7 linked regions of the Macaca mulatta genome follow. The protein of the gene in region 4 interacts with the protein of the main gene of each other region in a biochemical or structural test. Links are inferred from orthologs where the notes say so. Each region holds a gene or a part of one and is shown on either strand. Other genes may lie near its edges. The genes, in order: PANX1, PTGES3, HCLS1, CASP3, GZMB, PARP1 and GSN.

Region 1 (3,870 bases), on a different chromosome or scaffold from region 4:
AATGCTGCATAACATGATCCCTCTCACTGTACCAACTCCATGTATTAGTCTATGTACCTCTCCCCTCTTCTCAAAAGCCCTTCTTCTGGTTTTATCTAAATGTATACCTGATCTAATAGGTCTTCCCTGGTCCTGTTAGCTTCATCCTACATGTCTGTCCTCCCCTGGAACTCCTGAAAACACTTCAGAAAACATGGGCGTCTGCTCAATAGCTCCTCACCCAAGTGCCTGCCAACCTTCACCAGCCTGGAGCTCATAGCTCAACACCTGTCTGGGTGCTGACTTACATACAGCTGAATGGTGTTACCTGCTAATAGATATGTTCTAGTGCCCAACTGCATAGTAAATTGTCACAGGGCAGGGAGAAGGCAGGGCAAGAACAAGGTCTCAAAATCCTTTCCCACCTCCCTCAGCACACAGTGCTATGCACACAGCACGACCTCAGACTCTTGCTAGGTAAAACCACTCCCAATACCCCCAAAATACCTCTCAGCCCACCAATTTAGATGTATCTAAGGCATTACAGGTGCAGGTGCCTTAGAGTCCCTCTAGTACACGCGCTAGAGGTGGAGATTAGTCATAGAGGGTGACTAACTCCTCCCTCCTGCCTTTCTGTCCCAACCAGGTACCCAAGACGTGCACCTCCAAGACAGGGACCATGCCTCTTTTACTCCCCGGTGCTTGGAGGTCAGCGCGGAGTTCAGCACACAGCCAGTACTGAAGGAGGAATTGACTGAAGGGAGAGATTATCTCCATGACTCATGCTACTTGGTGGTTTCCTTTCAGCTGGAAGCCTCAATTCACTGTCAAATGGAAAGTTAAAGAAAATCCCGATGACTATGTCTATGCAAATGCAGGAAAACGAAAAACTTATTTTCCACCATGAATTTGGCAACTTCCTGCGAAACTGAACAACTTAATGCTGCAGACTGCAAAATCACACTCACCATCACTCTTTCCTAATCAACTCTTCCCTCAACTTCACAATTCCCACCAACACCACACTCCAATCAGCCAGACATACAACCTCCACAGCGCGTTCAACCAGTACTGCCCTTCATGGCCTATGAAAAACTAGGTACTCAAGTGCTGCTTATATACTCCTTGATCTCACAGCAATCACCCACCCGTTTTCTTCCACTCTTCACACCTGCTGTGCACAAGACTTCAACTGATGCCTTGCTCTCTGGCACTCAGCCCTCCAGGCCCCATCCTCTCACCTTCTTCCCAGACCCTAAATGCCACCATCAGGCTAGTATTTACTTAGTGCTGTTTTCAACCAGTCTGTCCTCTGCTCAAACAATAACTTCACAGTTCTGAAACCATCAGCCTACACTCTTCTGTTCCAGGCTGACCCAGGCCCATATTCACTCTCGGACTCCAGGAACTCTGACTTATCCTCCTGCTTTGGCTAGGACGGTCACTGTGTCTCTCTTTCCAGGAACATATAACATTCTCTGCCATCTCAAAACCTTAACAAAGGTCTTACTCCTGCTTATCCAAATCCCACCCACCCTCTGACAAAGTTTTCCCAAAGTCCAGTCGCAATGGGTCCTCTCTCTTCCCCCTGCCACAGAACTGTATTTAACCTTCCTGCACTACCTTCCTGTTGGTTCATAAACACTCTCTCCTGTGTGGAAAGTCAGAACAGCTGATGAGGAAGATAAGCCACATAGCCACATGATCCTGCCCAAACCACCAGACTTTCCAATCTCACACAACAGTTATGAAGCTCAAATGAGAATTTACAGGAAGGGGACTTGTTCATCTCACATTCGTAAGACCGTCCAAGTGGAGGATCCCTCTAATGCCTGCCAAGTGCAGATATTTCCCATCATGCACAACCCTAGAGAGCTAAGATCTCAGCAAACACCAATTATATGTAAGATAGTGAAAGAACACACTTCTCATGGAGCACCGGTCTTCACATTCTCCATGTAGCCACTCAGGAACTTCTCTGGCGCAAAATTTTAAGCGGTTGCACAAGTACGTAGGAGACAGGGGTGAAAAACGGGGACACTGCTATTTTTGGCAAATCTGGTGGCAAGGTGCCCATTCTAAGGGTGGAACATAAACTGTAAGCCACAATCCGATCAGTGGGGCATAAGGAACAAAAGAACTGAGGAGTAGGGATGCGAGCAGAGTAGACCAGGGTACCAATGAAACAAACACCTGGGCAAAGAACGCTTTGGACCATAAAACCGGGACCACTGTCCTTCCTGACGCTCACTACCATCACAGCTGGGCGTGCCCAGGCTCGGGCCTGTGAGCCGTAAAATCGCAGCTCACCGGGCCAGACCGGGGCGGCCACTCCCCTCCGTCCTGGGCGAGGCTTACCAATCGAGATCTCCTGCGCGAAGGCCAGCGAGATGAGCAGCAGCGGCAGCCCCACGGCAATGCACGTAACCATCTTGTCCACGGCCAGCTCCAGTCGCAGCCCCTTGAACTTAGGCTCGGTGGGCTCCTTCAGCAAGAAATCCGAGAACACGTACTCCGTGGCCAGGTGGGCGATGGCCATGGCTGCGGCGCGCCAGGCTCGGCCAGGCAGGACTTGGTACTGCCGGCGTCGGGAGAGCTGCGCGGCTCCTTCACCCTGTCACTGGCCGGGCGTGCGGCTTTCGCTTTCCCTTTACCTGCTCCCCAGATGCTCTCGCATCCCGCCTGCCTTTGTGTCTCGGTGCCTCCGGCTCCCAGCGACCCCGCTGGGCTCTCGCGCTCGCTGCCTCCGCCGCCGGCGGGGCGGGGCGGGGACCCGGGCGCTCCGGTTCCTGCGGTCCCACCTCGCGCGCTCAGCCGGTGTAAGTCCCCGGGGCGCGCGCGGCACTCGGATTCGCGCCTCTCCCGCGCGCCCGCAGGCGCGGGAACCACGCGCGAGACAAAGCGCTTCCCTCTGGCCCTGCGCCTACGCGTCGCCCCGGCTGCAGAAGAGGCCTCCGGGCCTGCCCTGCGCTCTCTGCCAGCCGCGCCGCGCTCTTCCGGAACCATCCGGGGAAACCGAGTACCCAGGGGCGTGGAGCTTCCGGAGACGCGGTGACGCGAGGCGGGGTGGGCGCGGCTGCATCCAGCGCCCCTCGGGCCCGCTCTCCGACAAAGGGATTTTCCCGCTGAGCGGCACCTTTGAAAATTCTCCCGTCCCTCCCGGCCGCATTCTCCTCACGTCCTGGCACCCGGGAATTTTAAAATCATTTCTGCAAGCAACTCTTTCTGTGGACGGGATGGCCCCCTTTACGCCCCACCCCTAACATTTCCAACACAGTGAAATGGGTTAGAAGGAGCTGTAAAAACTTCAAAGAAGAGTCAGTGCCGTAAAAGGCCAATCGAGCGGTGTAGACAGACGGTCCCTTGCAGAGGGAGCGCTGGACCCTTCCAGGAGCTCCGCGTGAGATGGTGGCGTGGAAACGCTGGTGAGTGTGGAGTATGACCCGTCTGAGGCCTGAGTAGCGCTGCTGGTCCCGTTTCTCTTTCCTCTGCCATCCCAATCAGAGCCTTGTTCTGGGAGCCAGCAGAGGGGCGGCCTGCAGGTAGCTGGGTGTTGAGGCTGCAGAGAGCTGCTTCTGAACAGCTCACAGGAAGTGGATGATAGAAAGACAGGAGGAAATACTCTGACAAGTGTCCACGGAAATTAAGGCTGTTGAGGTAGAAATAATTCGATTTATCGGAAGCTAAATGTGAGGATCCAGCCAAGAAGACTTACCAGCAAAGTTGGGCATGTTTCAAAATGTGTTACACGTTGGAAGGGTTTTAGAAGAAAGTTTAGGAAAAGGGAGGAGGACCCCTCATGTCGGAGTTGGGTTTTTTTTCATCGGAGGGTGCGGTACACAGGTTACAGTCACGGGCTTCGGGTGACAACATACAGTCTAAAATGTTTTG
Region 2 (4,145 bases), on a different chromosome or scaffold from region 4:
CTTTTTTTTTTTTTTTTTTTGAGACAGTCTCACTGTGTGGCCCAGGCTGGAGTGCAGAGGCGCGATCCCCCCTGCAAGCTCCACCTCTCGGGTTCACGACATTCTCCTGCCTCAGGCTTCCAGCAACTGGGACCACAGGCGCCTGCGACCACGCCTGACTAATTTTTTGTATTTTTAGTAAAGACGGGGTTTCACCGTGTTAGCCAGGATGGTCTTGATCTCACGACCTCGTGATCCGCCCGCATTGGCCTCCCAAAGTGCTGGGATTACAGGCGTGAGCCCCCGCGCCCGGCATGAAGGTACCATTTTTTTTTTTTTAACTAGAGAGGCTGCTTTTTGGAATTGTCTCTCTACTGCTACACTTACTTTTTTTGAGACGGAGTCTCCCTCTATTGCCCAGGCTGGAGTACAGTGGCGCAATCTCGGCTCACTAAAACCTTCGACTCCTGGGTTCAAGCGATTCTCCTGCCTCAGCCTCCCGAATAGCTGGGACTACAGGAGTGCACCACCACGCCCGGCTAGTTTTTGTATTTTTAGTAGAAACGGGGTTTCACCATATTGGCCAAGCTGGTCTCTAACTCCTGACCTCGTGATCCACCTGCCTCAGCCTCCCAAGTATTGGGATTACAGGCGTGAGCCACCGCGCCTGGCCTTACACTTTTCACCCAAGTTTTTAAATTTACTTTCCTAACTTAGCCGTTCCTTACCTATTTAGATATCTCATGTGCCCTCCAGAAAGTGCTTCTACTTCGAGCCCATTTTAAACATTTTTCACGAAAAGATATGTTGTTTGGCTCTATTATTAAAAGCTGCTTAATGCCTTATCTGACAAAAATTTTCCCTTACAGATTTTCAGAGTATGAAAGGTTAAGACTGATGTCCCTTCTACATTACTTATGAGAGATTTCAAAGGGAAAAACAAAAGCTATTTTATATACTTTTTTTTTTGAGACGGAGTTTTACTCTTGTTGTCCAGGCTGGAGTGCAATGGCAAGATCTCGGCTCACCACAACCTCTGCCTCCCTGTTTCAAACGATTCTCCTACCTCAGCCTCCCGAGTAGCTGGGATTACAGGCATGTGCCACCACGCCCGGCTAATATTTGTATTTTTGTAGCGACGGGGTTTCTCCATGTTGGTCAGGCTGGTCTCGAACTCCCGACCTCAGGTGATCCGCCCACCTCGGCCTCTTAAAGTGCTGGGATTACAGGTGTGAGCCACCGCGCCCAGCCTGATTCAAACTTTTAAAAACCCCGATTACGTATCACTCTCGGGGAGGGGGCTCCCTCAAAAATTCTAACATGCTGTGCTCTAGAAGCTTGTTTCCAGTGATAAACTTCGCTTCAGTGTATCCCTCACTCATTCCTTTAGATTTCTAGCCGTCAGTATCATGACTTTGAATCAAGCAAACCCTTCTTACTTTTCCACAAAGTCACTCCCTCTCATCTCTTCTGAATGGAATATTTTTTAAAAAAAGGTTCCCCCTTAATTGCTCTCCATACCTTTTAGGACGCAGTTAGTACCTTAAAAAATAACCTCCCGTCAAAAAAAAACCAAAAACTAAAACAAAACCCTGTAAAACCGGCAGTTCCCACTGTACGTGGCAGTGCCAAGAATTCTTACTCGGTTAAAATCGCCGAGGTTTCCTTTATCATCATAAAATGAAGACTACCATAGAATCTCAACACAAATTTAAACTCTTTAGGACAACAGTAGGTTAATTACACGCCTATTACATACATATTTCACCCCACAGTTACAGGATAGTGAAACCTCACCTCAGGTTTAACATGGAACACAGAAAATGTCCGTGTCTTTCCAAAGCAGACACGTGCAGAACTACCTGCTCAACGGTAACTCCTCCTCGCTGCCAGGGAAGCGGCTGAGTTTTGGCAACCTCCCGTGTTTTCAAGAGACTGGAGTTACGAGGCGGACTTCAAGTACCCACACTCAAGAAACCCAGACACTGGAGAGAGAAGTATGTTGCGGCGTGGGCATGGCTTCACTCTAGTTGCCTAGCAGTACCTGCCGCTCACGGCTAGGCCCGCGTGGGGCTCTCCCAGGAGCTCCGCCAGGCAACTGGCGGCACCCACCACAGGTGCACTCGACTCAGGGCCTGGCCCGGGGACCACAAAGCAGCAGAACCGGAGCGCCCAAGCAGCCGAGGCGACCCACGAGGGTTCACGCTTCACGGCGCCGCATGGCGAGCAGCTCCGGGGAGCTTAAGGCCTAAGGTGAAGTTACCTAAGGAAGCCAGTAGCCCAGACAGCCAAAGAGGGAAAAAGTAGGATTTCCGGTATAGGGAAGCCAAGGGACGTTTCAGGGGTGGGGGAAGCAGACATCTGGAGGAAAAATGTCCTCCACCCGCCAACGGTAACCGGAACAAGGATCCTGGACCTCCCGCCCCCAGGCAGGAACGACTGCCACCACCGATGCGAGAAAGGCTATGGGGCCAAAAGCAGAGGGAGGGCAAGGGCCGCTTCCAGGGAGCCCCCAACGCGGCCTCGGCCTCACTCTGGGCGACCTTCCCTCGGCGGGGTGTCGCACTCACATTGTGAACGGGGCAGGGGGACGGGCGAACGGGTGGGCGGGCCTCTCTGGCGGTGGCTGCTGCTAGGGAGTCGACTTCTCTCCAGTGGCGACTCCGCGTTTTCTCCCCGGTCGCGGCCTCTTCTCGCTTCCCTCAGGCGACGGCGGCAGCGGCGGGCTCGACCTCGGTCCCCAGAATGCACCGCGCGGAAAGAGCGGCTCCTCCGGTCGGGGAGAAGAGGAAAGTGTAGGAAAACGGGCGCGAGGACGGAGAATGAACGTGCGTGCGTGCAAACGAGGGGTGGTGAGGCCGGGCGGCGGCTGGTGACGCAGCAAAATGCCCGGGCCTTACCGCCGCGCGTGCGCAGTCCTTGTTTTCGGGGTCCGGCGCGGCTTTCTAGAGATATCTACGGAAAGGGCGGGGCTTCCCAGCTCCTTCGCGATCCTTCCTGGCGTCGGCCCCGCCCTTCGTCCGCCACCCCACCCCCACCCCGCCCCCTGCTAGTCGCTACGCGTTCCCGCCTCTCCTCCCTCGCTGTCCTCTCGCGTTAGAAAACCGTTGGTGTCCCAACTGCCCGGCCATGCGCCTTGGGCGATTTCTCTGAGAAACGGCTGCGTTGGCAGTGGGAGGCAAGGCCGAGGCGGAGGGACACGGAGTCAGGATCCTATAGAACTAAAATGGAGCGTTGGTTACTCTTGAGGGAGTAAATCAGTTCACTGAGGAATCATTCCACCACAAAAACCTGTGAAAAGGCTGTGCTGTGGAAAAGGGCTCACTTCAGAATCAAGGGCCTGGGTCTACCTCGCCATTTTTCTGAAGGTTGGAGGCTCTGTCTAGGGACAGCGGAAATTGGAGGTTCTTGGCGGAGGAGGAGCATTTGCCATTTGGGGCGGGCTTTTGCCCCTACCTTGAGACCTCAGTGCTGTAGATGAGACAGGAAGGATATTTGGTGGGAGAGTCTTAGGTTTCTGGGAATGGAGAGGCTAGGACATTGGGTGTCTCCACGCACATCATTTGGGGGAGAACGGGTTCCCCGTCGCTTCGTGCAACACACTAATAGGGTGTATTAGGGGATAGTAACCAAGAGACCCAAAACAGTCCTGCTTACCAAGAGGCCACTTAACGGTGGAGTATGGGAAAAATACTCTAGTGCACTGCATTATGAACAGGAAGGAGGTTTAACGAAAGTGCTATAAAACGTTTCTGAAGAACGGGGCTTCATAATAAGCAATAAGGTATTTAGTGTCTATGTTGTGCACGACAGGTAGTGGGAGCTACGAAAACTGGACCCTAGCTCAAATGCCATTTTGGACCGGGCGCCCATAGCTCACGCCTGTAATCCCAGTACTTTGGGAAGCTTGAGGTGGGCGGATCACCTGAGGTCAGGAGTTTCACCTGCCCAACATGGTGAAACCCCATCTCTACTGAAATTACTAATTAGCAGGGCGTGGTGGCACGCGCCTGTAATGCCAAATACTAGGGAGTATGAGGCGGGAGGATAGCTCGAACCCAGGAGGTGGACGTTGCAGGGAGCACTCTAACCTGGGCGACAGAGTGAGACCCTGTCTCAAAAAAAAAAAAAAAAAAAAAAAAAGGGAAGTTGGCCTGGCGCGGTGG
Region 3 (4,188 bases), on a different chromosome or scaffold from region 4:
AGTAAGAGGGCTGTCTCAGTCCCAGAAGGCCCTTTTCCAAGCATCCTCAAAGGTCACAGAGTTGCCCAGATGCCCTCGCCACCCCACTCTCTGCAATATTCAAGCAAAGCTACTTCCAAACTCACCACAAAGTCAGGATCTGTGTCCCAATCATCACCCTGGGTCTCCACGGAAACAGACACATCATGGCCCACTACAGACTTCCACATCTGAGAGTGACAGGAGATGGGAATAATTAGGGACAAAAAAGGATCAAGAGGAGGGAAAATAGGAATGTTGAAGTCAAAATATAGAAGCCCAATATTTCCTGCCATTTTTTTTCTTAGAAGAAAATAGAAAATGAAGCAAAGCAAATGGGAGTTGTAGGAAGGCTTTTCTGCTCAGTTACAAGAGGAGAGATAGGGCTTTATTCAAGACAAACCAATGTGGCCTGGGCCCGCTTGGAGCTAGAGAGAAGTTGCCATGGGTGTGGGTAACACTAGGTAACCTGTAAGTCAAAATTGCTGGAATTGTTCACTTGTGTCCCGAGGCCAGCCAGGCAGTGGCTGAAGGTGGTTGGCAATGAGGGGTGCTATAATATCCCTAGAATTATGGCCTCATTTCACTCAGGTTTCTATATACGATTCCTTTGTCACTGTTGAAATACCAATTGGTTCAGTTTCTCACAAGTGAACATCTACGTCTCTCTTTACAACCTGCTGAACTATACTGAGAATTTTTCCAGCCTCTTGTCCAAGTGGTGTCCCACCTTCACCCTGAGACTGGTCACTTCACAGCTGCATAAGGTCAGTAGGGACAGTTGGCTGACATTTCCACACTGAAGAATGCATGGGAAAGCATTATTTGCTGGGAATAAGTCAGTTATTACTCAATTTTTAAAAAATGGTTCAATTATATTTCTAAAGAAAAGTAGTTCAAAAAATAGCATGTTTTCAAGTTGACAATTTATCATAGAAAAGAAAAAAGAATCATATATAATAAATCTTATTTTGAACATTAAGAGGTATTCAGTTTTTATCAACTAAATAAATGTTGCAGAAATATTTAGAGAACACTAGCTTGGAAGGGTGCCAAACTTACTCTGCTAGAGCATCCCCAGTGTTCTAGTCGGCCTTCTGGACTGTGCAGAAGGAAGAGCAGCATGGTTGCTCTGCATCTGTGGATCTTGGTGTGAAGAAGTAACAACAGACAATGCTCATCTGCTATGGTCGCTACTGAGACTTCTTGACCCTGGCACGACTTGCTAGCTGGCAACCCTTCCCTCCTCAGACACCTCATCCCATTGGATACCTTCTTCATGCTCTCCATTGTCTCCAAAGAGTTCCTTTACAACTACTCCTCGGGTTCTCCTGTCTCCACCTAGGCCTTCAGATTCTCCAGTTTTCTATTTCCACTTGAAAACTCCATCTTCTCCATTGAGCAACCCCTTAAAAACCAGCCCAGGGGAAGCCTGGGGTAAATCAGTTAAAGAGATGCTAAGGGGACACTGGGCAGATATTGACTGAGTCAGCCGTGAGTCACGGCTGAAAGCAGCTCGGCTTTCCCTGACGCGGGTGGAGACAGCAAAACAAGACTTAGAATCTTGCATCCTTACTACCCCTCTACTTCTCATCCCCTGGCTCCTGGGCTGCTGTGCAACAAAAGGACTGTCACACACAAAACTGGAATGGAGAAGTTTCTGAAATAGTCATGAGCAATAAGGAAGCAATGAGGACTGATGGTCCCATCCTCTTTCCTGTGGCTCCTCTGAGGCCTCAGCCTGACTCTCCCATTCACCCATTTTTGAAATAAAGAGTTTCCGAAATAGAGACAATTTATCTAATATCCTTGACCTATTGACCAGAAACCAGAAAGGTAAGAAGTGCTATCTAGAGGTGAGAACCAGAGAGTAATCTGGTGAGGCCTTGTTGCGATGCTGACCTCCTGCATCAAAGTACACGGACTGGGAGTCAGAAGCCCTGGCTGTCACCCCAGCTCTGTGACTAAGCCTCTGAGAGACCATCACAAGGGCATCAACAGAGTAGGTACTCATTTGCCAGGTATGAGACCAGGCGATTAATAAATACCAACTTGAATAATTTGCCAAATCAGCAATTATCTCTGATTTCCCCAGTGGAAAATAATGAAGGGGTTAACCTAGCTAATCTGTAACGTCTCCTTGATTTCTGACATTCGGGGATTCTGTGATCTACAATCACAGAAACTAGCCCCAGCAGAACCATCATGCCTTCTCTTGGGCTCCATCAGCACTTGGTACTCAGTGCTACTTTACATCAGTGACTACTTCCTTATCTGTTACATTTCCTATGTGGGTTTGTTTCCCTGAGACCATATGCTCTTCAAGGGCAGACACTGTTTTCTTCTCCTGTGGTCCTCCTCCCAACTCAGTACCTAGGGGAGACATGCCTTAGACTGGGTTGTAGATTGTCAGCAGAAACCAGGCAACACTTTGCTTGACGTTTGTGCTAGATGGCTCCTGAATCATTTGCCTTGAGTTTAAGTCCCTCCCTTCTGTTTCTATCTCCAGATGCTGATTTGCTACAACCACTCACAACCAGGCCTTCTGGCCATAAAAGGATAAAAGCCTACTAGTGGTGACCTTGCCCATCACCAAGGACTAAGAGCCAGGTAGGTTCCTCCTCAACAATTACTGTGTTTCCCGACTGTCCCATGGCTCAGAGTACCCACCTCCACCTGTGCGAGCCTCTGTTCTAAGCGCCCGGCTCCTTGCGTCCACACCGACTCCCTCTCTGGCTGCTGCCACTTCGGAGTGAGAAACTGAGCTGCTGCTTCAGTTCCGTATTCAGGTTTTCGTCATTTCCTGCCACCCCATCCTCACAGCTACTTCCTGAAATTTGAGTCAGTTCCTTCTGCTTTAGACACTTAAATTTTAAAAGGATTAAATGTTTCTGTGCCTGGTCTTTTTGCAAGGTTTTGACAATGGGGGTCATAGGGCAGTCATAGAAAATGCTGCTTTGACTCTGACTTTGTAATCTAGTGAGAGAAACAAACATTCAACCAGAAAACATATTAGAGAATTCCATAGAACAGCACTGTATCCTAAATAGGGTGGCAGTTACGTTTGAGACTGTAAAGGAATTCAGAGCATTTGGTATGGGATGTATTCATCAAGAAAGGCTTTATGGGAGAAGTCATTTATATGTGGATTTTGAAGCATGAGACTTAAAAAGAAACTCACCCCTATATTACCCACGGCACTTAAAAGTGGAGTTTTCATATAGATGTTCAAATAAACATCGACCAGTTGAATGCCAGAAGGAATAACTCATAAGGGAAAAGGCAAGACATGGAAGGAGAAAGTTTCCTAGCTTGTTTGGGGCACTGTGGAGTCTGAGCTAACAAACTAAAGATTTGGCTCCAGATATTAGGAAGAATTCTGAAAGAACCAGGTGCTGGTCAGCTGATGGAAGGTCTTTGTGGCCTCCTGTTTCAATGCGTGTCAAGACTTGCTGCCCCTCCCTTCCCTCTTGAAGTCAGACGTGCTGAGGTGACTTGTTTTGGCCAGTGACAGATGCCACTTTCTGGCGGAGACTGTAAGACCACTGCAAGCTTTGCTATGCTCTTTCACCACTGCCCAAGGCAACCTGCAATTCTCCATGTTGGCTCCTCCAGCAGACTGAGTCCCTGAGTGAGAAAGAACACAAGTGGAGCCCCATCTACCATGTGAGGGAATTGGAGTCTTTCACTAAATAGTCCTTTGTTTTGGCTACTGCGAATTTGAGGGTGTCTGTTATTGTATCTGACCTAGCCTCTCCTAATCTTGATTGTCTGTGGACTTCTTGATTTGTTCACAACGGTGCATTCTCCAAGGAGTTTAAGCAGGACTAGATGAAACTGGCCCATGATACAGGCACTTTTCTGCATTAGGAATATGAAGCCTCTGTCACTTCCAAATCTAAGGATTCTATGCCTGGGGGAGCTTTATTTATCCCTCCTACTTTATTACCTATTTATTGTGATGGTACCGAAGTTATAAGGAAGAGTACATTTGTAGAAGGGAAAATAGTCTTGTAAAATCACTTGGAATCCTCATGTAGTGTCAAAATACGAATTAGACTATATACTGTGACACACCATCCAGGTACATAGTTCTCTGGAGAAACTAGAAATTAATCAGAGATGACACCAAGAAGCCCCATCTTTCTTTAGCAAATGTCACAAGTTCAT
Region 4 (4,157 bases):
TTTGGAGGGACAAAAGGAGAAAACGGGAAAGCCTTCACAGATCTAAATGATTTATATAAGTGTAAAATGGAGGATCTTGAATGCTTTTTTATAAAAATTACAGATAACATTAAAGGCTCACCACTCCCACCAAGAATGACTACTTTGCAGAATCAGATTCAGGTTTAAAACCGCTTGAAGAAACCCTACTGTCTGGAAGACTGAAACTGCCAAAAGTCAGATTCAGTAGCATCTATTCATTTGATATTTGCACCATAACAATTTACTGAACACCAACTGTGTGCAGAGTACTATACTAGACCCTGAGTGTATCAAGCAGTGGACGAGACAAACCCTATCTCTATGCAGGGCTTATACCGATGTTCACTGGCATTCAAAAGTGGCTCAACAAAGCAGATGCCAGACGGTGTCCAATACATATCAGGTAGCTTGATTGCATTATTGTAATGCAAAGAAGCCCTACAGGCAACATGTGAAGGTAAGAACAAAACATGCAGAGAAAGAACATTATATAAATCTAAGAATTCTCACATCTTTTTTTAGGCCCAAATACCAGTGCTTCCTATCTTTGGGGCAGAGCTTAAACATCTAATAGTAGGCACCAGAAGCAATGTAATATATCATTCATGAAAATAAAGACTGCTTTGTAGGGGGATGAAGCAGTAGGAGATTGTGTTAAATGAGGTCTGAAAGCAAAACAGTGAAGAAGCATTATAACTGCCTATATCAGATGCCAGTCTCTTCAAAAGGCAAGAGTCAAGGCCTTTATTCAGGATAGCAAAAGCAAACCTGATTTAACTAGGTACAATGTCTAATGTCTCTTACTCTGAACAGGTTTTATTGCCATACTCCAATAAACTGTTCGTGCATTCACTAAAATATATTTTCACTTTCAAAAACCTTCTTTTACAAAAAGGCAAAGCAAAACCAAAGCCCAAGCATCGGGCTGTGATAGAGATGATTTAAGCTTTACATTTCACTTTTAGAGATGATGTAACCACAGCACGCACACTCACAGTGGCTGAGCCCATTTTGATACAGTCTAGTCTAACCACCTTTCCTGGCCCTCTTTCTGCTATCTTGCAGGTTTACATGGTTTCAGTGACTCCATGTCACCTCTACCATTTCTTTTCTAACTATTATTTGCTAAATAATCCTAAACCAGGTCTACTTTTTCTAGATAGGGCATAAAAGTAAAAACACAACGGATGGGCATTCACTGCGTTGTGCCAGGGCCCGCATTTGGTGAAAGACTCTAAGGACACCAAGATAAACCAAGTCCATCCCTCCTGGAGTTTGCTTGCAAATCTAGCAGGGAAGACAGTAAACAAGCAACTGCAGAGGATATGACACATCTCTCTTAGGGAACGCTGGCTGCAGAAAGAACACAGTAGAGGAAGATTGAACCTTGAACTGTTTTAATGAAAACAGAAGTTTAAGTAGCAGCTCTTACTTCTAATCAAATGTGATGGCGGGAGAAGGGGAATGCAGAGGTGTGGCAGACACTAGCTATGAAGGTCAGCATTGCTGTGCAGAAAGTGAATCGGTGCTAAAGATAGGGAGGGGTGGGGGCACTCAGGACCCAACACGTACTGGGGTTTGTCAGCCGTATTAAGTGCTGGGTTTAACCTAAGGGCAAAGGACGCGCTTTCTAGACTTTCATTTCATAAAGATCCCTCTGTGCTGTGAAAAGTGGACTACAAAGGAGCAGGCGGGTCTGGAGGTGGAGAGACCAGGGAAGAGGCTGCTGTGGAGATGGAGAGACGTGGACAGACCTGGCAGACGTTTACAAGGTCGACAAGGCTTGGTGACTAAGCGGGAAAAGAAGTAGGTGGGCGAGAGGGGGGCGAGAAGGATGTTTTCCGGTTTCCTGCTTGGGTGCCACTTACTGAGAATGGGGGAAAGACGCAGGTGCAGAGCACACCCACTGAAAACAACAGCGCCGAGCGCGAGCAGGGCTCGCTCACTCCTCACGGCCTGGGATTTCAAGGCGACGCCAATCAGCTGTGGCCACGGAGACACAGCCACAGGGATGAGCTGTGAGCACTCACGAAACTCTGCAGGGCCGAAAAGGAATTGGATTTTAAACCCTGCAACTAGCTCTCTGGAAGAGCTAAACCACACAGTCAACCCGGGATAGTCCAGGCCCCAGGCATGGAAGGCAGCAGAGACGGAAGCCTCGCCCAAAATTGGAAGGATCAGCCCCGAGGGCGAGTCCCTCACAGTCAGCACCCGGCCGCCCCAGCCCTCGCCGCACCGCTTCCCGGGGCCACTCCTCCGCCGGCGGTAGCACCGTCTGCTTTCCAGCTTGCCGCTGCCTCCCGCTGCCTGGCCCGGCCTCCTGGCCCCAGGCCCGGCCGCCAGGTCTCTGGCCCTCGGAGTTCGGTGCCCCGTGCCCGACCTCCCGGCCCCGGCCTCGGTTCCCCCGGGCCGGCCTCCCGCTGCCTGGCCTCCCCGGCCCCAGGCAAGCCTCCCGCCCCCGGGTCAGGTCTCCCTTCCGATGACCTGAGGCCTTTCCTTAGGTTACTCCCAGGTCCCTCTCCCTAAATCAAAAGCCTTAACCCGCTGCCTGGCTGCCCCGGCCCCGGCCCCGGGCTTCACTGCTCGCTGCCGCCCCGGGTGAGGTGGCAAAACAAAGGCTCCGCCGCCCAGGTCCCCGGGCGGGCGCTGGGCCTGGGAGGACGCAGGGAGCGGGGACAGGGCTGACCGCCCGGAGCGAGCGCGGCACTCACCGCACAGCCTTCTCACACCTTCCACAACCGCCTCACAGCAGCAGCCACCCGTTACGATCCGCGTCTGCACCGCTTCAGCAGCCCGCCGCCTGGGGACGTGCTCCAGCGCTAGCCCCGCCCCCGGCCCGCCCCTGTCGGCCCCGCGCGCCCCCTCCCTGGGGCCCGTCCCCCAGCTCCCGCCCGCCCGAGAACCCAGGGCCGGGCTGGGCCCCAGGAGCCGCCAGCCCGCGCCCGCGCCCGCGCCCGCGCCCGCGCCCGCGCCCGCGCCCGCGCCCGCGCCCGCGCCCGCGCCCGCGCCCGCGCCCGCGCCCGCGCCCGCGCCCGCGCCCGCGCCCGCGCCCGAGGCCCCGCCCCCCGAGGCCCGCCAGGCCCCGCCCCCCGAGGCCCGCCAGGCCCCGCCCCCCGAGGCCCGCCCCCGAGGCCCGCCCCCGAGGCCCGGCCCCGCTCCCCCGCCCCGGATTTGAAAGCTGGGTCTTCCTGAGAGTCCGCGGGCTTCCGCTCCCAGCGCGGGATTCTGGAGGTAATTTGAGGAAGACTTGGAAACCGCGCCAGGCCCAACGGGGACCTAGAAGGGAGACAAGGCCAGGCCTGCTGCCCAGTGTGAGCTCTGAGAAGAAGAGGAGCGGGCCGGGACGCCCTCCGGTAATTTCCGTCCCCCCTCCGGTGACCTGAGGCCTTTCTTGGGGTTACCCCCAGGTCCCTCTCCCTAAATCAAAAGCCTTAGCCTCCTGTCGCCAGGGTGCCGGGCTAGTAATAAGCAGGTCCACGCATGCTGGACACACGGGCTCAAGCCACTCCGCGCATCAGTCAGTACTACAAACCGTACGCAGTAGTGTACTTAATCCATATATAAACGTTACATGTTAAGCATCCCACAGCAAACAAAGTAGCATTTAACATCCCGAGGAAAAAAAGAGAGAGGACAAAGAGATGAACAACCAATCCAGAGGGAGTGAAGAAGAGAAGAAGAAGCCTGGTTTGGGCCCGAGAGGTCCTTCTGCAGAGACAGCGTCAATTAAGACTGTTTGGAGCTGCCGAAGGCAGAGTCCGGGTGAGAACTGACAGTGGAAGAGGGCGCTTGTTTGTGTCCTTACCTGAGTGGATGCGGACTAGTTTTTTACTTGTTTATTAAAGTATAGTATCCTTGTTGGCAAATGCCCTATGAAATATAAAATGGAGTCTTTTCCTAAGATGGAGTTATTAATAGTTACGTGAAGGGTGTGCTATACACTGCCGTACTGATCCCCTTCCTATTTTGGGTCATGAACTCATTTTAGACCCTGAAGCAAACTGTGAATCGTTTTCGCAGAAGAATTCTCCACCACGTGAGCACGACATTCTGCATCAGATTTCAAAAGGTTCTTGACATTCAGAAGTCAGATCAGGGACCCCATGGCAGAGCCTATTTCTAACGCTTGCGCCTAT
Region 5 (4,164 bases), on a different chromosome or scaffold from region 4:
TTAACCACGTTGGGTACTGACCTCTGAAGACACACCTGGTTATAATTACTGCATTCCCAGTGGGCACAGTTTCCTAATATCTGTGACCTGGAGTGGGTAGAGTGTTGCAAATTCATCCTTCCAAAGGAGCACCATCCACCATAAGCCTCCTTGTAAGTTTGCAGAGGCCCTAATTTCTCCCCAGCTCTGTCTAGTCCCCTTTTCTCTTTCCAGAGAGAAAGATCACAGTCTAGTGGGTGAAGGAGTCCCCCACTACTTAGGTCTGCAGGTCTCAGATCTTCCCCAAACATCTTTCTCCCCAGAGCCAATCCAGGTAGATGCATAGTCTCACCTTAAAGGAAGCCTTTTGAATCTCTGGGTCCCCCACGCACAACTCAACAGTACTGTCGTAATAACGGCCTAAGCGGGATTTGCACGTTTGATCTTCCTCCACTGTCAACTTCACCTCCTGCAGTGTGTGTGCGTATTTTCCATCGGGGGTCGTCTGTCCCCAGCCGGCCACATCGCACGCCTGCCCTGGCTTCACCTGGGCCTTGTTCCTAGGTAGCCTGAGGGGCTGCACAGCTGTGGTCCGCTTGGCCTTTCTCTCCAGCTGGTGGGGAAGAGGCAAGAAAGTTCAGGTCAGCCAATGAACTTCTGGGCCCTGACACAGTGATGGGACTATGCTGTCTTCTCTCTCCTCTGAGGCACAGGAATTAACCAAAAGGCCAGGATGGAAAGGAGGGAAGGGCCTGCATCACAGTGGGAGTGGAACCAACTGGACTTCTTGCTCAAGAAGAGCAAGAGTGGCAGGAGTGTGCCTCACCTGTAGTAGCATGATGTCGTTGGAAAAGTTCTCAGGATTATAGGCTGGGTGGGGGATGGCTCTTTTCACAGGGATAATCTGCTGGGTCCGCTCCTGTTCCTTGATATTGTGGGCCCCCAAGGTGACATTTATGGAGCTGCACAGAGAGCAGAGTGAGGATGGGGGCGGAGTCACAGAGGACACAGCCCAGAGACAGTGAAGAGCAGGTGACAGCTGGGGCAGGGCTGCAGCTGAGGGGAAATTAAGGGGACAGTCTGTCCCCAGGAATTGGAATTCTGGTAATTGCACCATGTTTCTCAGGGGTCGGTTCCCCCTTGAAACACCAGTGGAATTGCTTCAGTTTGTATTCTTATGCCAAAGTATGCCCCCGGTTCTAAATATGGCAGGGTTGGTCACTCTGCTGTTTCTTACTTCAGCAGCGCCTCTGGAACCAACCTTCCCCCCTCTCCACAAACTTACCTGCCCTTTTCTCACCCTCTAAGGAGCCCTCCTGGCATATGTGTTCCCAGGAGCCCAAGGAGCTCCTTGGGAAGAAGGCAGGGGTCTCTGTGGAGTGTTTCCGGGAAAGTATGGGCTATTTTCTGCTCCTCACCTTCCCCAACAGTGAGCAGCTGTCAGCACGAAGTCCTCTCGTATCAGGAAGCCACCGCACCTCTTCAGAGACATCTGATCCCAGATCATAAGATAAGCCATGTAGGGGCGGGAGTGGGGCTTGGCCTCATGTCCCCCGATGATCTCCCCTGAAGGAAAAGTCTCTCTGCTTGTGTGCACCCACGGAATCTGCTGGGTGGGCACCTGCTTGATGGCTCCAGAATTCCTGGGCATTTGGGAACCTGGGATAGCCTGGAGTTGGGAGGGGCCTGGAGGAAGGGGTTTCAATTTCCTGCTCTGTAAAAGGGAAGGACAGCAGACTTTGGTCTGTAAATCTTTCTTCCATATGTAGTCGAAGGCAAGCATACCTGTCTTAGGGACAGTGAAATCCCAGAGGCTCCTGATCATTCCTTTCCTGACTTTGCTTTGTTTCAGGTGAGTTTCCAAGACCTATGAGTCCCATGGTTTCTAGGATAGTGCTGCTTTCTAATAGCCAGGGCATAAGTGGAGGGATCTAGATACTGTCATATGCTATTTCCTAGAGCCTGACATGTAGTGGGTGCCCAATAAATGTTCATGGCTGCATGATGGACTGGCTCCAGTTAGCCTCTGGATGAGGGCTGGCAGAGCAGTGCTGGTGGAATTCTAGAAAACGGAAGTTCAGGCTTGCCATAGTGCCTCATTCTTGGAAAGAGGGGAGCCACCAAAGGCCAGGGAAGAAAAGCAGAGTTGGAGAATGGGACTGAGCAAACACATTAACAGTGTTCTGAGGACAGTGATTGCACCAGTTCTGCTGTCAGCTGAGCTCTGGGTTTCTCTCCTAAGTAGACGGTGAGAGAAGGACCTGTGTTATCCCAGAAACAGAAGCCAGGCCTACTCTAGAATAATTTAATATTTCTCTTTTCTAGTTTCCCATCCTCTGCCATTTACTTCTAGGAAAGTCTCACTCTCCAGGTGACAAAGGTGGGCTCTGGAGAGGGGATAGTACCCACTGGCTCTTCTTGAGAACGGCCTTCTGCTCTGCCATTCCTGCTGATAGCTTATCCAGCATCACACCTGGGGGGTCTTGGTACAATGGGAGCTGGAGTTCAGAACATTCCTGGTAGATAGATGGATCAGGAATGTGGAGAAAGGGCAGGAGACCTATGGGATGGGGTTGGGCCCCCGAGGGTGGAGACGATCACTCACCTGCATCTGTCCTGCGCAGCAGGAGGAAGGCCAGCAGGAGCAGGATTGGTTGCATGTTCTCAGAAAGGCTGTCCTGGTTGGAGCTGCTATTGTTTCCTCCTTGCTCTCTTTTAGCTCTTGGGAGAGGAAAGAGGTGGAGCAGGCTCAGTGACTTCATGTTCCCCTCTGGTTTTGTGGTGTCTCATCACAGAGTTTCTGTGAATGCTGCCCACCCCCACTGCTTCTGCCTGATGACGTCCTCTGGGTGCTTGTGTGAAAATCATGCAGTGACCACATCAGCACCCACAGCTGATGACTCAGAGTAGACTACCTATTCAGCCCAGAGCAGGAACCCAAGCATATGAAGTGAACTGTAGGATATGGTATCAGCCAGTAGAGGTACTGAAGCACCAGAAACCTGAGTTCCCAGTGATAGAACCCCAATGCCTCAAGGCCATGCTGCTAAATCCATCAGGATAGTTTCTTTAGCAGTTTGTGCTGGAACCAAGCATGTTGGAGATGTGTCTCCTTCCCTTAGAGAGCTGACCGTCTGGTTGAAGAGACAAATGCCAGGAGCCAGAGTACAGTTTGGGGAGGGCCATGGTAGAGCAATACACAAGGTAGTAACAAAGTATGGCCACCATCTACTAGACCCATCTAACAACCCATTTATTATCATAGCTTCCTTTCTAGGGAATTTCTAACATCCTTTATTTAGTTACAAATATTTAGTGTGAGAGTTCACCTCTTTTCTGAACGCTTTCAATAAAAGTCCTGTACTTGACATTTTATTGGGCTAGATTAACGAATTGCTAGGAGTTGAATCCACTTTGGGTAGGCTGGGGTCAGTCCACTCAAGCCACTAGAACCAAGAATGAGAAAGGGCTGGTTCTCTAAAGGACGTTTGTAATGCTAAACTGCTGATACCATGTGAAGTGAGGAAGCATGCCAGGCAGCCAAAGATAAGTAGTTGTCTTTTTTAGTATTCTGTCTCCTGTCCAGAGAGCCACACTTCTTACATAGCAGGCTCAGCACATAATAGGCACACAGTAAACATTTGCTAAACAAACTACACTAATGCTATCGTTATGATGGATGTGAAAGATGGTTGTTTCTAAACAGCCTGTGCCCAATTCTATTAAAAAAAAACTAAATCTCTCTACGTGGTTTTATTATTGTGATTTGTTTCCATCTTTGTATTTTCTGTATTTTACAATTTTTCTATGAAGAATGGTATATCTCAAAAATAGAATTCCAGTGTAAATGTCTTCCTTGTCAATAGCAAGCCAACTACATTTATCAGACTTCTGTTTTTTGAACCTAGCTTGCCCCATAGTAGACGTTTTAAAAATATTTTTTTTCTGATTATAGTCATAACATATGTTTATTAAGAAAATTTGGAAAGTAGGAAGGGAAAATATCACTTATTAATCTGTCTCCCACAGACTGACTGTTACCATAAGCAGTGTGTTTTAAATACTTGGGATCACATTGTACAGACAATGCAGTTTATTTTATCCTTGCTTAACCCTACAAATTAAGCATTTCTAAAATTATTCTACTAATAATTGTAGAAATCTATTAGTTAATACAACTATAGT
Region 6 (4,174 bases), on a different chromosome or scaffold from region 4:
TTTTTCAGACAGGGTCTGGGTCTGTCGCCCAGGCTGGAGTGCAGTGGCATTATCTCGGTTCGCTGCAACCTCCACCTCCCAGGCTCAAGCAATCTTCCAGCTTCAGCCTCCAGAGTAGCTGGGACATAAAGGCATGAACCACCACGCCCCGCTAATCACTGCATTTTTTTTGTAGAGATGAGGTTTCAGCATGTTGGCCAGGTTGGTCTTGAACCGCTGAGCTTAAGTGATCTGCCCACCCAAGCATCCCAAAGCGCTGAGATTACAAGCGTGTGCCACCGAGCCTGGCCCCAGAATGTTAAACTTGATCAGGTTCAGCTTCCTCCATCCTGCCTCCCCCACAGCTAACTAAGCCTCCTCTAACTTCCTCCACAGTGGTGTTGTTCTAGCCTCAACACACTGCCTGAACTTGGGTTTTCTGTCTTTCCACTAGAACACGGTACTCTGCCCACCTGTTACGGCCCGTGGATGTCCCTTTCTCGGAATAACATTTAAAAATGCATAATAAAAAGGCTCGCAAATGGTCAGTCATGGTGGCTCACGCCTGTAATCCTAGCACTTTACAGGGCTAAGGTGGGTGGATCACTTGAGCTGAGGAGTTTGAGACCAGCCTGGGCAACATAGTGAGACCCCATCTCAAAAAACAAAACAAACAAAAAAGTTCGAAAAGGAAACATACTCAAATAATTATCAAAACATTTGAAAGGTAATTTGCGTACAGTAACCCGTGAGCTTCAAAGTTTTAAATAACAAGATCTAGTACTGCCTCTAACAACTGTGATTTTTATAGCAATGAGAGTAAATTATATTTTGAGAAACTCCCAACTGTAAAGTGAAAATATCTGTAATTACCGCTGGTGAAAAAAATCATAGGGACTGCTAATATGCCTTTGCTTTGCTGCTTACATTTATGATTAGAGGAAATAATGAATTTTATCTATAGGTTAGTGGAGATGGAGATATCAATTTTTTCTTATCTAAACCCATGGACCTCTTGCATTCTATCTACCATCCTACGGACCCTGGGGTTAAGAGCTCCTGCACCAGGAGTGAGAACTTCATTAGAACAGGCTGCCTTATATATTTAAGGTAAGTTCCAGGTTCCTTAGTGGGAAACACGGCTCTTCAAATTGTAGGCCCTGTCTACTTCCCTATCCTCATCTTTCTGCTCCACTTCTGTGAATTAACGACTCCTAATCAACCTTCCACCCTAAGGTGGGTCATCTTGGACTCCTAGGCACACAATGCCTGGAGCACAGTTCCATCAGGTGGCATCCATCCCCTCTGTACGGCAATGTTTGTTTACCAGTCAATTCCCGTTTAACCAAACTGGAAATTCCCAAAGGTGGATTCTGTGTCCTTAAAACCTAACAGAGTGCTTAGAACTTAACAAATATCTACCAAATAAGCACTGTGTGCCACGTACTGACTTAGGTATGCCCCAAGGACACCGAAATGACAGACATATTGTGAAATAAGATAACGGAAGTACACCTGGCACTTGGGTATCCACTCGGTAAATGTCGCCCTCCCTTGTACTCTTTAAGTCCTGAAAATCCACTGAGGGCTATCTGGTCATTCCTAAAACACATTACAGCTCATGGTAGGGAGGAAAATCAAGCTACCTTGACCATGAGCACTAAGCTTGGGTAATGTGTTGGAAGCGAGGAGGAACAGGGCAGGTGAGAACCAGAATTATTCATACAAAGGCAGACATCAGCAAACTGGAAGCTGGAGGCAGGAGCCCCTGGGAAATGACAGGGGCCTTCAAGCCCACCACCTCACAGAAGCCTCAGGAAATCTCAAAAGGGGATCGATCCTCAATCTATCAAAAAGCCCACATGAGAAACCCCCCTGGAGCCACTCTTACTCAAACCAGACAGCTGCAAGTGCACCGAGAACGCGTCTGTGAACCTGGAAAATTTGGGGAAAATGTTAAAGCACATATTAGGCTCAAAGTGAATGCACTGTACAGAAATGACACCTCTCTGCATAGTTTTGCCTAATTAAAATGAAAAATGAGGGTGAGCGTTAAAATGACGTGTTGAAATGACGGCCAAAAATAGGTTAAAAAAAAAAAATCCCCACATGCCAGTCGCCACCATCCACGTAGGACAAAAATCTTCCAGAACAAGATAGGTCAAAATCAGATTAGCTTAAAGAGACCATGTACAATTCCCCCCCACCCCCAATCCCTGAGGCGAACGGCAATAATAAAACACCACCACCAAGAAAGGAGGAGAGAAGCGGCTTCTCGTTTACACAAAGCGAAAGGCAGCACCAGCTGCAGACTGTATTTCCCGGGCTTTTCCTGCAACATCAGCAAAACCTTCCGGAAGGGTCGGCCGGGCCGCTCGGCGGAGGAGAGGCGGCCACGGCCCCACAGGCCCTAAGTGCCGTTCCGAGAGCCCAGGTCCGCTCGCTCCCCGGGCCCGCACTCCCCGAGCCTTCCCGGACACAGTTAACCCGGGGCGCCGCGTACCCGCCCCGCCGCCCGCACAGCGGCCCGCACCTGCACCATGATGGCCATCCGGAGCGAGTCCTTGGGGATGCTCTCGCTGCATTTCTTGCAAGAGGCGCGCCCGCTCTTGGCGTACTCGACTCGGTAGAGCTTATCCGAAGACTCCGCCATCTCCCCTAGCTGCAGCCAAAGCTCCGGGAGCCCGACGCCACGACCTGGAAACACGCCGCCGCCTCGCCGCCTAGCCGCCCCGCGTGCGCTCACCCAGCCGCAGGCGCCTGAGCGTCCAGAGCCGCCACCGAGCACACCGCACCGGCCACCGCGGTTCCCCGATAGATTACTGATGCCTGGCAGCGGAAACGCCCACGGAGCCCACGTCCACGGGGCGGGGCCTGCGGCGCTCGCGCCCCCTGCCGGCCGGGGGGCGGAGTTTCCCGGGCTCCTGCGGGTGGAGCTCTACGGCCCGCTACCCTGTGGGCCGAGGCGGGGCTTGGACTGAGCTAGTAGCTCTTTGGAGGACCCGGCGCCACCCCTTTGATCGTTCTGTCCCAGGAAGTCTTACCTGTTTTCATAACTAATTATACCCCCAACCCCTCCACCTTTTATTTTTGAGACTGAGTCTCACTGCGCTGGAGTGCAGCGGCGCGATCATGGCTCACTGCAGTCTGGAACTCCTGAGTCCAGCGATCCTCCCACCTCAGCCTCCCAAGTAGCTGGGACTACAGGCGTGCACCACCACAACTGGCTAATAAAAAAAAAATTGTTTTTTTAGGGATAGAGTCTCGCCAAGTTGGCTAGACTGGTCTCAAACTCCTGGCTATAAGTGATCTTCGAGCCTCAGCCTTCTAAAGTGCTGGGGTCACAGGAGTGAACTACCAAGCCAGCCCCAAACTCTTTTTATAAGTGTGTCCTCTCTCCCCTGAGGGCAGCTGGGTCCGGGAATAGCAGGCCCCCCTAGGGAATATAGTTGATCGGCCCTAGGTGGACCCTGCAGTGTTAGGTCCCCTGGCTTGGACGGGCATTCCAACCTGCCATCCATACACCGTCGGGACAAAATACCAACTGAAACCTAGCATTTCCTTTATTATGAATTTGACTACAAATCCCAGGAGTATTAGAAGTACCTGTGACTTTGTGGGCAATAGTCATCACAGATGTTTTCATGTTACTTTACAGTTATTTTGGTGATAACTCAAAATATTATTAAGCTCATCACTACTCAAAATTGTGGTAATGACTAGACCTGTTGCTACCAGATATTTTCTCTCTCTCTCTCTCTCTCTGTGTGTGTGTATAAAGAAAGAGATGGGGCATCTCTCCATGTTGCCCAGGCTGGTCTTGAACCCCTGGCCTCAAGCAATCCTCCCACCTTGGCCTCCCAAAGTGCTGGGATTACAGGGATGAGCCACTGCAGCTGGCCTAGATCATGTTGTTTAATATGGAACTATACTTTAAAATACAGTTGATTAAAATTGGTTTCTTTTCTAATCCTATGCTTTTTTTTTTTTTTCATTTCAAAGATTGTAACATGAGTGTGCTGCATTTGAAAATATTCAATTCTGGTGTAGAGGATAAGAAAAATAAGTGGATGAATAAAACTCATAAAAAGTGTTAACCATAGAGAAGAAGCTAGTAGCTTAAGAGATAAGTATGTTGAGTAAGCAAGAAGGTTGTGAGACATAGGCTGAATCCTAAAAGTTAGTAATCAGTAAG
Region 7 (3,998 bases), on a different chromosome or scaffold from region 4:
TCTGTGCTAAACAACAGCCTTTTCTGCTCTGATCCCCAGCACCTGGCAATTACAGACTGTAGTACATTTCATCTTGTGTTAAGATGGAGCTTTACCCTGGCTGAACATGAGGCTGCTGCCAGCACCCAGGCTGGGAATGGACATCTCTGTCATGTGGTGCAGTCTCCTGTTGAGTGTGTGAATCCTTCCAAATTGGAGTCACGCGGCAACTCCAAGAGCCCTGGGAACCCACGTGTGCACCAGGACTGTTGGGAGGCCCTCCTATGCCTTGCCACATTATAAACGGCTATCGTCTCAAATGCATATGAGATGCTGTTGAGATCAACAAAGTTTTACATTTGTTTAAAAGTGACCTTGAACTCATCTTTCTGCCCAATGTGGATTTCCTCAATCTCCTCAAACAATATCTGCTATGACACAAATAAGAACATCCGTTTATGCAGAAGCCACAGTGCCTTGTCATTGTGCTGAGGGTCTTTTTCTCACTGAGTCTTCTCAACCGCCCCATGAAGAGGCAATCCAGGATGCCCATTTGACAAACGAGGAAACGGAGACTTAGGTATGTGAGCTCGCTTGCCCAAAGTTACAGGACTAGTTGATGTCTGGGGTTCCAAACCAGGCCCTTCTGACTCCACGGCGCCTGCTTAATGGTCCACTTTAAGGACCAGGGATGCACTTGGCATTTTCGTTACTTCATTCGGAATGAGCTGGGAATCGCTCTTCCTCTTTATTCCCTTCCGTGGGAAGGAATCTCCCTTGCTTTGTGTGCAGCCTATGTCACTCTCCGAAGTCTCACTTTGCCTCCTGAAGTCCGTCCTCTCCGGGGCTGAAATCGGCCTCCGCTGGTGCTAGTTGAGCATTGCTCGCCTGCCCGCCCCATCTGAGCTCTTGGCCCCAGGCCAGCTCAGGAGCTGCCCTGGGTCTCCTCCCCGACGCTAGGCCTCTTCAGATCTCCCCTCCGTGCTCCAGGCCTCAGTTTCCTCCAGGGGAAAGCAGAGGGCTTGGTGCCTTCCTGCGAGGTGAAGCGAGGGGTCGCCCTGGATGAAGGCAAGCTTGGAGCCACCCGCCCTGCAGCCGACGGGAGGGCCTGGCGCTCCTCCCCCACCCGCCTGCCGGGCCGCCCCGCCCCGAGGGCGGCTCCCGCCCGCGCCCTGCCCACCCCGGCCGCGCGCACCGCAACGCCCCAGCCCCGCCGCCCGGAACCAGCTGAGCACAGCTGGACCCAGCAGCCGCCGTCTCCAGCGCCGCAGCAGCAGGTAGGGGAGGCGCGCAGCCCCGGCCCCGGACATCTGGGGGTCCCGGGCTGATTTGAGCCCTTCCTCTCCCTTCCTTCCCGGTCCTGTCTCGCGCGCGCCTGGAGCTCGGCCCGGCCGCGGGGGTCGCTGGAAAAGGGCTTCCGCGCTCAGTTTTCCCGTCTTCCAGGGGACCAAAGAGTGTGGATGGGAGCAGGGGGATGGGGAGACGCTGGAGCAGGAGAGGAGAGGGGCCAGGCCTCCACCCCGTGATTCCACTGTGCTGCTAGCACCTGAGCTAATAACCTCGACCCCGCCCCCGCGATGGGGGAACTGTCCCGGGGTCACTCCCGCGCTTGGGGTGTCTGAGCCGGGCATGCAGGGGGCCACCAGCTACGGTCTGGGCGGTGACCCCGCTGGGGAGTCCACTCAGAGGACCCTTGCCTCCTGGACGATACCTGTGCTTGCTTTCCTCTTCGGCTTCTTCCTCTTTCTGAGGACTGTTAGAAAGTTCTTCCTTGTACTGTCTGAAATCTTCGGGCGCCTGCTACCTGTAGCTGCTGGCTCCTCCCCGGCCCTGCAGTGTTCCCTTCCCTGACTCACACGGAAGCTTCTTTCGGAGTTGAAGACAGTGATTGGAACCCCTTCTCCCTGATCCCCCATGTCTTCTGGGATCCAGCCCCCCAAAACCTAAATAACAGCAACTTCCCTCTGGTCCAGTGCAGGTTGGCTGGTCTGCGCAGTGCCCGGGGAGAAGAGCCAGTCCTCGGAAGACTGGGGGCTGGGGGTGTGGGCGAGCAGGTGACATTGGCTTTCTTCCTAGCTCCTTCTCTGCCCAGACATCTGCCGCTTTATCCTGTCCTCACACCCTCCTCAGAGCATGGAAGGGGCTTTTAAAACACCCAGAACTCATTCTAGGCTGTCTTGAGGGTAATTGGACTTTGTGGAAGGCGGGGCTTCTGGGGAGGTGCCTCTCGCTTTTGTTTGGCCTTTGGGGACTTTTCAAAGACTTAATCCTGTGTGTCGTGTTCTCCCAGGACCACATTTCTGACCAGGGCACCAGGAACTCTCACCGCTCTGCCCTTTACAGCGACCATAGCTTGCTAGAATCTTACCCCATCCCCATTTCACAGTTAAAAGTCAAGGACCCAGAGAGTTTATGATGGGCTAGTTGACACACAGTGAGGCAGGTTAGGGCTGGGACCCAATTCCAGTCTGCTCTTTGTGGATTCCTTGCTGGGAGGGACTTTAGCCTCCTTCTTGGGTGTTCCGTTCACTAAAGGGACAAGCATTCCCCACCGCTCCCCCCCCCCCCCCCCCCCCCCCCCGCTTGGGGATGCTGGTTGGTGTTTCCTGGGGCTGTTAAGGGAGAGAGGCTTGGAAACAGAGGAGTAAGGATGGGGATGGGAACGGTCGGCTTTCAGCTCCTTTGAAACTCCATTTTTCTTTCCGGGGCCTTGCTATTTAGAAATGCCAGGGAAATTGTAAACAGCCAGGGGAGCTTGGGTTGGCATTCGGTGAGTTACACAGCAGCAAAGAAGGTTTCTGTGTGAATCAGGGAAGGGAAGTTTACTCCAGAATTTTCTATAGTCCTTTTATTAGGGACTAACATGAGCCTGGAAACAGGCTGCTCCCAGGAGGGGTGGCTGCAGAGTTTGCCCTGCATGGCATTTCCTTCCACCCCTCCTCCCTCCTTTCAGCCCTTCTCTGGACCTGTGTTCTGTGCTTTGCCCTGCGAGGGGCCCAATAGCCTCGGAAGAGGACAGAGCTCTCTGTCCTCAAGATGCTTGTCATCTATAGTGGTTGACACTTTCGTGCCATATTAAGAGTGACTTCAGCCTGCAGGCGGAGTGACTAATTTTGTCTGGGTGACCCAGACCTCAGAATGAGTAATCATTTACCAGGAGAAACAGGAGTTGGAGGAAAAGACATTCTGAGAAGCAGGAACCACTTGTGCAAAGGCACTGAGGTTTTCTGAGCCATCCAAGTGGCTAGAGTGGAGGATGGGAGAAGGGCGGGGTGGTGGGAGTTGAGACTCTAAATGAAAATGGAACTAGATTATAAGCTAAAGGTTTGGACTTCATCCTGAAGGCAATGAAGAACTGAGAAAGGGTTTTGACAGAGCAGTGGTTTTTAAAAACTCATTATTCTGAATGGCCGATATGGGGGATGCATTGGACCAGGCTGATCTGGAGGCAGAAAGGCCCTGAGGAGGCTGTTGCATGATTCAAGTGAAGTAGAATGCAGGTCTGAACTAGAGCGTGGCCACTGGGATGGGTCAGAGCAGCAGATTCTGGAAGCCCAGCTGAAGGTCTCAGAACCTGCTATAAATTTCATCTAAAAGCAGACAACAGGCTATACCTACTGGAGAAGGCTGCTAAGGTATTCAGCATTGTAATTTTTTTTCTTTTTCATGAGTTTTAAAACAAACAAAAAATATTGTTAAAGATTCAAACATAAATTTTTATCCCCCCAAGCCCTCCTCTTTCCTCAGAGGTCGCCACTGTTAACAGTGGTGTGTGTGCGCTTCTGCCAAACACGTTGGTTGGATGCCTTCACTCTTAGCCATCCAGTGACAGTGGGCCACTTTCCCCTACTCCATGTGAATAGTTTGGGTCATTTGTGATGTGGGTCATAGAGATGATTTCTGCTTGGTCTATGGTACTTTGCTGAGACATTGATCTCTGGTTTTCTTTCATTAAACTTTTACATCCTATGTCTGTGGTCTCTGAGTGTATATATTTGCTTATCAGAGACCACAGGTGT

The links.
Region 1: of the proteins of CASP3 (region 4) and PANX1, one has a biochemical effect on the other in vitro, tested with the Homo sapiens proteins (2 studies listed by IntAct). The link is inferred for Macaca mulatta from reciprocal best matches to the Homo sapiens genes CASP3 and PANX1.
Region 2: of the proteins of CASP3 (region 4) and PTGES3, one has a biochemical effect on the other in vitro, tested with the Homo sapiens proteins (2 studies listed by BioGRID and IntAct). The link is inferred for Macaca mulatta from reciprocal best matches to the Homo sapiens genes CASP3 and PTGES3.
Region 3: of the proteins of CASP3 (region 4) and HCLS1, one has a biochemical effect on the other in vitro, tested with the Homo sapiens proteins (2 studies listed by BioGRID). The link is inferred for Macaca mulatta from reciprocal best matches to the Homo sapiens genes CASP3 and HCLS1.
Region 5: of the proteins of CASP3 (region 4) and GZMB, one has a biochemical effect on the other in vitro, tested with the Homo sapiens proteins (2 studies listed by BioGRID). The link is inferred for Macaca mulatta from reciprocal best matches to the Homo sapiens genes CASP3 and GZMB.
Region 6: of the proteins of CASP3 (region 4) and PARP1, one has a biochemical effect on the other in vitro, tested with the Homo sapiens proteins (9 studies listed by BioGRID and IntAct). The link is inferred for Macaca mulatta from reciprocal best matches to the Homo sapiens genes CASP3 and PARP1.
Region 7: of the proteins of CASP3 (region 4) and GSN, one has a biochemical effect on the other in vitro, tested with the Homo sapiens proteins (2 studies listed by BioGRID). The link is inferred for Macaca mulatta from reciprocal best matches to the Homo sapiens genes CASP3 and GSN.

The regions. Positions count from the first base shown.
Region 1 is NC_133419.1:94,944,396-94,948,265, reverse strand, and holds the start of PANX1 (pannexin-1), read right to left. Parts: upstream 2,519-3,870; coding exon 2,338-2,518; coding exon of another isoform or gene 2,285-2,337; intron 1-2,284. Other genes in the region: uncharacterized protein LOC114672334, read left to right, coding at 2,285-3,034. UniProt on the Homo sapiens protein: Ion channel involved in a variety of physiological functions such as blood pressure regulation, apoptotic cell clearance and oogenesis.
Region 2 is NC_133416.1:63,860,573-63,864,717, forward strand, and holds the start of PTGES3 (prostaglandin E synthase 3), read right to left. Parts: upstream 2,801-4,145; 5' UTR 2,552-2,800; coding exon 2,550-2,551; intron 1-2,549. UniProt on the Homo sapiens protein: Cytosolic prostaglandin synthase that catalyzes the oxidoreduction of prostaglandin endoperoxide H2 (PGH2) to prostaglandin E2 (PGE2).
Region 3 is NC_133407.1:162,124,757-162,128,944, reverse strand, and holds the start of HCLS1 (hematopoietic lineage cell-specific protein), read right to left. Parts: upstream 2,801-4,188; 5' UTR 2,689-2,800; intron 1,165-2,688; exon of another isoform or gene 1,144-1,164; coding exon of another isoform or gene 1,081-1,143; intron 210-1,080; coding exon 126-209; intron 1-125. UniProt on the Homo sapiens protein: Substrate of the antigen receptor-coupled tyrosine kinase. Plays a role in antigen receptor signaling for both clonal expansion and deletion in lymphoid cells. May also be involved in the regulation of gene expression.
Region 4 is NC_133410.1:193,076,818-193,080,974, forward strand, and holds the start of CASP3 (caspase-3), read right to left. Parts: upstream 2,801-4,157; 5' UTR 2,733-2,800; intron 2,058-2,732; 5' UTR 1,890-2,057; intron 1,828-1,889; exon of another isoform or gene 1,794-1,827; coding exon of another isoform or gene 1,756-1,793; exon of another isoform or gene 1,668-1,755; intron 1-1,667. Other genes in the region: PRIMPOL (DNA-directed primase/polymerase protein), read left to right, coding at 1,756-1,793. UniProt on the Homo sapiens protein: Thiol protease that acts as a major effector caspase involved in the execution phase of apoptosis. Following cleavage and activation by initiator caspases (CASP8, CASP9 and/or CASP10), mediates execution of apoptosis by catalyzing cleavage of many proteins.
Region 5 is NC_133412.1:97,735,497-97,739,660, forward strand, and holds the start of GZMB (granzyme B), read right to left. Parts: upstream 2,801-4,164; 5' UTR 2,742-2,800; coding exon 2,585-2,741; intron 1,546-2,584; coding exon 1,398-1,545; intron 942-1,397; coding exon 806-941; intron 593-805; coding exon 332-592; intron 1-331. UniProt on the Homo sapiens protein: Abundant protease in the cytosolic granules of cytotoxic T-cells and NK-cells which activates caspase-independent pyroptosis when delivered into the target cell through the immunological synapse. It cleaves after Asp.
Region 6 is NC_133406.1:84,166,520-84,170,693, forward strand, and holds the start of PARP1 (poly [ADP-ribose] polymerase 1), read right to left. Parts: upstream 2,801-4,174; 5' UTR 2,633-2,800; coding exon 2,513-2,632; intron 1-2,512. UniProt on the Homo sapiens protein: Poly-ADP-ribosyltransferase that mediates poly-ADP-ribosylation of proteins and plays a key role in DNA repair.
Region 7 is NC_133420.1:36,932,088-36,936,085, reverse strand, and holds the start of GSN (gelsolin), read left to right. Parts: upstream 1-1,198; 5' UTR 1,199-1,256; intron 1,257-2,968; exon of another isoform or gene 2,969-3,100; intron 3,101-3,998. UniProt on the Homo sapiens protein: Calcium-regulated, actin-modulating protein that binds to the plus (or barbed) ends of actin monomers or filaments, preventing monomer exchange (end-blocking or capping).